2 linked regions of the Diceros bicornis minor genome follow. The main gene of each other region encodes a partner of the protein of the gene in region 2 in a complex. Links are inferred from orthologs where the notes say so. Each region holds a gene or a part of one and is shown on either strand. Other genes may lie near its edges.

Region 1 (3,744 bases), on a different chromosome or scaffold from region 2:
CTATTTCTGCTTCTTGCCTGACAGATTCCGGGACCCCAAATCCCAGCGGACCCACCAGGCCCAGGTGGCGTTCCAGGTGTGTGTGCGCCCTGGCTCCTACACCCCTGGTCCCCCTTCCACTGCCCTCAGAGAATCTCCTGACCCTCACTTTACCCCAGCCGAACTTGAGTGGGTAACCAAGGAGAAGGGGGCCACACTCCTCTATGCCTTGCTGGTACGGGTGGAATGAGGGGTGAGACCTCACTACTACAAGCACAGTTGGGCCTTGGGCCTGTGGACTCTGAGTGACGACTGCCTCCAACTCATTCCAGTGACCCATGGCATGCACAGGTGCTCAGTCTGGCAAATGCACAGGAGCGTGTAGGCAGGCTCTCAGATTTAGATGGGAAGTGGAGCACATCTCCATGTCCAGGGCGCGAAACACTCCCTCTGAGGTGAGGGAGCTTGTGGGGAGCCCAGCTCCAGGCCCTGGGTAACTCCTCTTCATGCACTGATTTGGGGAACACGACTCCCTATGATTCCCTCCCCCATATCACTTAATTTATTTCCGTTTTTGTTCTTGGTTACTGTGAATCCCAGAGGAGTCTCCCTGTGCCCCACATGAAGCTGCTTTTTCCGGGGGCCACCGGGCGGGAGTGGGGAAGGGCGGGTGCAAGGCAAGATGGGGGCCCTCTGTACAGTTGTTACTGACTCTGATTTCTAAGGAGCCAATAAACACCGTCTCAAAGCACCCGCCTCCGCCTCTCTCTCGCGTGCCCCTCGGAGGATCCCCTGCCCGCTGGGGCTGTCCCCGCTGTGCCCGGCCCCGCCAAATTAGAGGCCCCGCCCGCAAGTCCAGAGCCCGCTTGGGGCGCCCCGCGGCTGGCGCGCGGCCAGGAGCAGCGCCGGCTGAGGCGCAGCGACGGGGTTTGGACGCGACGGGCACCCGTCGCAGGCGCTTCCGCTTTTCCCTCTCCGCCCCACCCGCGAGGCCGGCTGCTGCCCTGACTCCGGAAGGACTCGGGCCAGTTGCCGGATGTGACGCAGCGGCCAAGGCGCGCAGGAGGCCGCGGAGAAAGCAAAGAGAAGGCGGGTAGGGAGGGGCCGGCGCCCGGGGCTGGCGGGGCAGTGGGCGGGGAGCGCCGCGGCCGGAGACTCGGGCCCCGCCCGCGCACGCGGTGGAGCCGCGGCTGTCTTCCGGGCCGGGCTGGGCGGCGGGCGCCGGACACGTGACCGGGGCGGCGGGCGGGCTTCCGCCTGGGCCGGGTGCGGTCCCTTCTGAGCGCCCGTCTGCCCTCAGGCCCGGTCCGAGGTCTGGCAGTCAGTGACAGAGTCGGGCACCCACAGCCCGAGCGCCCCCGGCGGCACCATGCCTGCGCTCTTGGAGCGCCCCAAGCTTTCCAACGCCATGGCCAGGGCGTTGCACCGGCACATCATGATGGAGCGGGAGCGCAAGCGCCAGGGTGAGCCGGGGCAAAAGCGGGTAGACACACGGCCCAGGGCGGTACCGCTACCCCAGGGCTGACTCCGACCCACGGGCCGACCAATGCGCTGGCCGTCGAAGTTAGAGGAGGGAAGGAACAGCCCCGTTGTGGTGGGAGTTGGAGACCAGGTCTAAACTCCAGAACCCTTGAGCTGGGAAGGACCTTGGAGAGCACCTAGAAAAACCTCCCTCTCTCTGTCCCCTGTTGCGTTGATGGGGAAGCCTGTCCCCTCAAGAGGGAAAGAGCCCTTACTAAGAGCATAAAGAAGTATTGGGATAACCAGTTTTTGCTGTTCTTCAATCTCTAACGTTATATTTTAACCACACTGCAACTTGCTCATTCTGCCTGACTCTTTCTCCAGAGGAAGAAGAAGTGGACAAGATGATGGAACAGAAAATGAAGGAAGAGCAGGAGAGAAGGAAGAAAAAGGAGATGGAAGAGAGAATGTCACTAGAGGAGACAAAGGAACAAGTAAGCAGTCCCTTGCTCTCTCCCAGTTCTTCCTTCCCTTAGCTCTCCTGCCTTCATCTTCTCTCCCCTCCCTTCCCAGATCCTGAAGTTGCAGGAGAAGCTTTTGGCCCTACAGGAAGAGAAGCACCAGCTTTTTCTGCAGCTCAAGAAAGTTTTACATGAGGAAGAAAAACGAAGGCGCAAGGAGCAGAGGTGGGATTGGAGAGCTAAAAATAAATAAATAAAATTGGGGGCAAAGTGTAACTGGGATCAGGTAACAAAAGGTCCCTGTTTAATAATGAAAGAGGGAGGACTTGTCTTTGATTTTGACCAGCCTTCCTTTCACTCCAGTGACCTGACCACTCTGACATCAGCTGCGTACCAGCAGGGCCTGACTGTCCACACAGGAACTCACCTCCTCAGCATGCAGGGTGAGGAGTACAGAAACCACTTGTCAGAATGGGCCCTCCTGGGGGTTGCAGCCCCCCATTTCAGCATCATGAAGCCCCTCTCCCTCTCTAGGGAGCCCTGGAGGACACAATCGCCCAGGCACCCTCATGGCAGCTGACAGAGCCAAACAGATGTTTGGACCCCAAGTGCTTACGGTAAGAGGAGGATTGGGTGTCTAGCCTGTTGTTTTTCCCTACTTCCACCCAGACCCAGGCATCCTCCCTGGACCAGTACAGTCATGCGTTGCTTAACGACAGGGATATGTTCTGAGAAACATAATGGAGTGTACTAACACAAACCTAGATAGTATAGCCTACTACACACCTAGGCTGTATGGTGGTGATCTTATGGGACCATCGTCGTATATGTGGTCCATTGTTGACCGAAACGTCGTTATGCAGTACATGAATGTATCAAACACTTAACTGTATAGGGAAAAACGGGGCATACACAAGTCCCTGGAGTTTCTGCTTTCAAGGAGTTTACAGGTAGTGAGTTCTCATCCTCTCTCCTTAGACCCGGCACTATGTGGGCTCAGCAGCTGCTTTCGCAGGGACCCCAGAGCACGGGCAATTCCAAGGTAGCCCAGGCGGCGCCTATGGGACTGCTCAGCCCCCACCTCACTATGGACCCACACAGCCTGCCTATAGTCCTAGTCAGCAGCTCAGAGGTGAGTGGTGGGAAAGAGGGAGGGGGGCTTTTCTCAAGGCCCAGAGGGAGGAGTGTCAGAATCAGGCTAAAGAAGGTTCTAATGGCTGTGCCTCTTGCCTTTCTCAGCACCTTCAGCATTTCCTGCAGTGCAGTACCTGTCTCAGCCACAGCCACAGCCCTATGCCGTGCACAGCCACTTCCAGCCCACCCAGACAGGTGATAACACCCCACGCAGGGACCCCAGTTCTGAGTCCTCCCTTTTTCTTTCCCGTTGTCTACTCATTTCACACACTGCTTTTCCCCACCTAGGGTTCCTCCAGCCTGGCAGTGCCTTGTCCTTGCAAAAGCAGATGGAACACGCTAACCAGCAGACTGGCTTCTCTGATTCAGTGAGTATGGAGCCTTGGGAGGTCAGGGTAAAGGGTTACAGTAAGGGGACCCCCAGGCTGCCTCTGATTCTAACTCTCTTCTCTGCAGTCCTCCCTGCGTCCCATGCACCCCCAAGCTCTACATCCAGCCCCTGGACTCCTTGCCTCCCCCCAGCTCCCTGTGCAGATGCAACCAGCAGGAAAGGTAAGGATTGGTAACCAAACCTGTCAGAACCCCTACACTACCAGGGAAAATAGAATTGGGTAGGACAGGTAGCCCACACCCCTGCTTTTTCCTTCCTCCTTGGGGGTGGTTGTCAGTAAGGGTATGAAGAAAGGAGAATATGCATACTGACAAAGCC
Region 2 (3,744 bases):
TGCTGAGCAGTCCAGCTCCAAGAAGCCTGGGTCGGCCGCAGGGCAGAGGTTTTGAGGGCCATACCGAGGGGCTGGGCTTTGGACGGTGGGCGGGGAGTCCATCCAGCTCCAGGCAGGGGAGGGGCCCAGTGAACAGTGAACACTGAGTCGCAGCCTTTGGCCCCCGCTGTTCTTTCTAAGGAGATAATCAAGAGCTCCCAAGTTCAAAGCCACTCTAAGTCTCAATTTTCTTATGTGTAAAATGGGCTAATACTAGTGGCTAAGTGAAATACACTTCTCAAGAGAGAGAGTGCGGTGGAGTGGCTATGAGCTCAGGCTTCAGAGCCACACTGCCTAGGGTTGAATTACTGGCTGTGTGATCTTAAGTGAAGTCCTTAACCTCTCTGTGCCTTAGCTTCCTTATGTGTAAAACAGATAAGTATTAGTGTAACCTCATAGGCTTGTGTGACGGTGAAGTGAGGTAATGCATTTAAGGTGCCTGAAACTGCCTGGCTCAGGAGGTGTTGGCCAGTGGTACGTGAAAACGCTGGGCCTCCCCATCTCCTCCGCATTGCCTAGGATGCTCAGGACCTCACAGCCAAGAGTGGGCAGCAGCGCCCCCTCCTGGCTGCCGAGAGAAGGAAGGGAGTCCTCCGCACACTGCGGCGGCCAGCCCCGCCCCGTTCCTCGGGGCCGACTGGGCGGCCTCCGGAATCCCTCTGCCCTCCGGGTTTCCGAGCGCTCCTCCTGTGGCGGGCTCTGCGTGCCCGCTCACACGGGCCGGTAAACGACACCTTCCCATCTAATTCTCGAACAGCCCTCGGAGGCAGACACGGTTACTGTTTCCATTTCACCCAGGGGGAAACTGAGGCTCCGGGAGGTCGAGTCCCCCGCCCCACGCCACGCAGCGAGGGAGCGGCGGACGTGCGGGCGGGCGGCTCTGGCCGTCCCCAGCCTCCGCTCGGTCGCCGCGCAGCCGGCCCCGGTCACTGCGGCGTGTGCGCGCCGGCGCTGTGCGCGTGTGCGCGCCCCGAGACCAGCTCCGGGGCCAGCGGCGCGGTCGGGGGGGGCGGGTAGGGAAGGAGGGGTGGCCCCGCGGACTCGCGGGGCGCGCGGGCGGGGCTTGTGCCGGGCCCCTGGCCCGCCCCCCGGCCCCGCCCGCCGGGCTGCCGCGGAGGCGGCGGCGCTGGGCGCGGGGACTCGGCGGGCGGCGAGGAGCGCGGAGCCGGAGCCGGACGCCGCCGCCGCCACCGCCACCTGCGCGGCCGTCGTCAAGGTAGGGCGGCCCCGCGCCGCCGGCCGCGCCTTCCCGGCCTGCGCGAGGTGGGCGCGCCGCGCGGCGGGCTGCAGCGCCCGGGGAGGGATGCTGGGGCTCGGCGCGCCGCGGAGACCCGGCGGGGCGCGGGGCACCTGGCTTCCAGCCCCTCCGCGTGACCTTGCACAAAGCACTGCTCCTCTCCAGGCCTCAGTTTCCCCGTCGGGATAGCGGGCGCAGTGATGGCCCCTTCCTCGCCGGGCTGTTGGGAGAGGCCGCCCCGAGCTCCAGGCTCCCGACGTCTCGGAGCCCGGATAGGCACTGTCTGCACAGCCCACCCGCAGTGAGGGCCGCTCACCCTGGGTGTGGCGAGCCGGTCCCGACAGGCCTCCTGTGGGGGATGCCCCGCGGGACCCGTGCTGGGACTCTCCCCGTCTTAGCTGGGTGACTTGCTGGGCGAGTAGGGGAAACGGGAAGCGGGGGACACCCCAGGTCCCTGGCGAGCCGGCCTGGGCATGCAGGGCGGGGCGGTCCGAGTCTGCGCGCCAAGTCTGCCTCGCGGTCTGGGGCTGGGGGAACCTTGGTTTGGAGGCGGTGGGCCTCTCAGCCGCAGACTTGCCTGGACCGGACCCATGCAGGCAACCTGGATTTAGGGAATGGTATGGGATGTCCCCTTCCTCTTCTCTGCCTGGTCAGGTGCTGGTGCCCAGCTCTGTGTCCCAGCCGGGTGTGATAGCGCTGGCTCACATCCGTGTGTGGACCCCAGAGGGGCCACAGTGCCAAGAAAGCTGTGTCTAGGTGCAGTTGGGTCTGAGACAGAGCACATGTCTGAGGGACTGTGGATCCAGGCTCTCTGGGTAAAGAAGACCTCTGGCATCTGGCCCAGCCCCTCAGTAAGATCCCCTCTGGAAGGTCTTGCATGTCCCTTGTGATGGGGATCTCACTAGCTATAAACAGAGCTGGAATCTGCTGGTCCTGCTCTGGGCACAGAGACAACATCTGACCCCTCCTCTCCTGGGCCATCATCTGGTCCCTTAAATCTGCTCACCTCCTCCAGCTAAACAGCCCCAGGCCTGGCACTGTTTCTCCTGCCAGAGCCAAAGGGAGCAAAGGCAAGACAGGGAGGTGGGTGTCTGCCCCAAGAGCGAGCAGTGGTCAGCGTGGGGCTTGTTCAGGAGCGGCCTTCATCAGGACTGGACTGTGTCCCCTGTGCTTCCTGCACTTCCTGCACACCTTTGGGTTAGCAGCTGCCTTCGGGGTCTGGAGGGAGGGGAGGAGCCAGAGGAGCCCTCTCCAGCCTCCCTGCCCCAGATCCTCTGCCTGTCTTCTCCTGCTGCCTGCCCTGACTGAGGGACTAGTTTCTGAGAATTGAGTCTGGGCCTTCTGGTCTCCCTTGTACCCCTCATGACCTATTCCTCACTCAGGAGCTTTCTTACAGTCAAAAGAAGGGAGAGACCTCCTGAGCAGTGGTGAGCTCTGTGTCCTTGGAGGTATGCAAGTAGAGGCTGGATGAGCACTTGCTGGGGATGAGCTGCCTTTGACTACAAGTCTGGGAGTCTAGGGTTGAAGCAGAGTGACCACGACCTTGCCTTCTGGCCATGGTGGAGCTGCGCAGAACTCGGAGTGGACCACAGATGAATGTTATCATCCCCTCGTAAAAGCAGACTAAGTATATGTGCTCTCACTCAAGCATAGAGACGACACACAGGCTTAAGTGCTACCTAAGTCTCCCATCCTATCTACGTGTGTATCATCAGGGCCCTGTTTTCTTGCTCGACTGGTCTAAGCCTTTTGGGCCTGATTTAGGGGCATGGCAGATTCTAGTTATTAAAAATTATCATGTGGGGCCAGCCTGGCCCGGTGGCGTAGTGGTTAAGTGCACATGCTCCGCTTTGGTGGCCCGGGGTTCACAGGTTCGGATCCGGAGCGTGGACCTACGCACCACTCGTCAAGCCATGCTGTGGTGGCGTCCCATATACAAAATAGAGGAAGATGGGCACAGATGTTAGCTCAGGGCCAATCTTCCTCATAAAAAAAAAAAATTATCATGCTATGCTAATAATTTGAAAATGCACCATGGAATTATGGAATGTCCAAGCTGAAAGGGATCTTAAGAAGTTATCTCATCCAACCCCCCTTTTACAGATAGGCCTCCCCTATCCCCAGAGGAGATGTGACTTGTCAAAGGTCACAGTAAACCAGCAGCCAAGCCTAAGGATCCTGATTCCACAACCAGAGTGTGTGTGTGTTTGAAAACACATACCACATAGTAAACAAAAGCAGTCTGTGTTTATTCCTATAAAATTAGCAAAAATAAATAGAAAAAGATAAACCTCTGTGCTGGCAAAGCTGTAGGGATTCTCTGGTGGCATGTAATTTTGCAGGGCAATCTGGTAGCTTGTTACAAAAGTCCGTGAAAATGACCCTAACTGCCCTTCGCCCCCAGCCTTCTCCTGTGAGGACTTTACCCTGAAGAAGTAGGTATATAGAGAGAGACGAGTATAATGCTG

The links. Proteins that work in one complex are often made in the same cells at the same time.
Region 1: CORO2A (region 2) and GPS2 share a complex: the UniProt entries of both Homo sapiens proteins name them as parts of the N-Cor repressor complex. The link is inferred for Diceros bicornis minor from reciprocal best matches to the Homo sapiens genes CORO2A and GPS2.

Annotation. Positions count from the first base shown.
Region 1 is NC_080757.1:10,978,594-10,982,337, forward strand, and holds the start of GPS2 (G protein pathway suppressor 2), read left to right. Parts: upstream 1-955; 5' UTR 956-1,068; intron 1,069-1,213; exon of another isoform or gene 1,214-1,279; 5' UTR 1,280-1,348; coding exon 1,349-1,442; intron 1,443-1,824; coding exon 1,825-1,934; intron 1,935-2,013; coding exon 2,014-2,126; intron 2,127-2,264; coding exon 2,265-2,344; intron 2,345-2,435; coding exon 2,436-2,518; intron 2,519-2,879; coding exon 2,880-3,033; intron 3,034-3,140; coding exon 3,141-3,230; intron 3,231-3,323; coding exon 3,324-3,403; intron 3,404-3,491; coding exon 3,492-3,587; intron 3,588-3,744. Other genes in the region: NEURL4 (neuralized-like protein 4), read left to right, coding at 25-229. UniProt on the Homo sapiens protein: Key regulator of inflammation, lipid metabolism and mitochondrion homeostasis that acts by inhibiting the activity of the ubiquitin-conjugating enzyme UBE2N/Ubc13, thereby inhibiting 'Lys-63'-linked ubiquitination.
Region 2 is NC_080767.1:8,385,998-8,389,741, reverse strand, and holds the start of CORO2A (coronin-2A), read left to right. Parts: upstream 1-1,145; 5' UTR 1,146-1,255; exon of another isoform or gene 1,256-1,302; intron 1,303-3,744.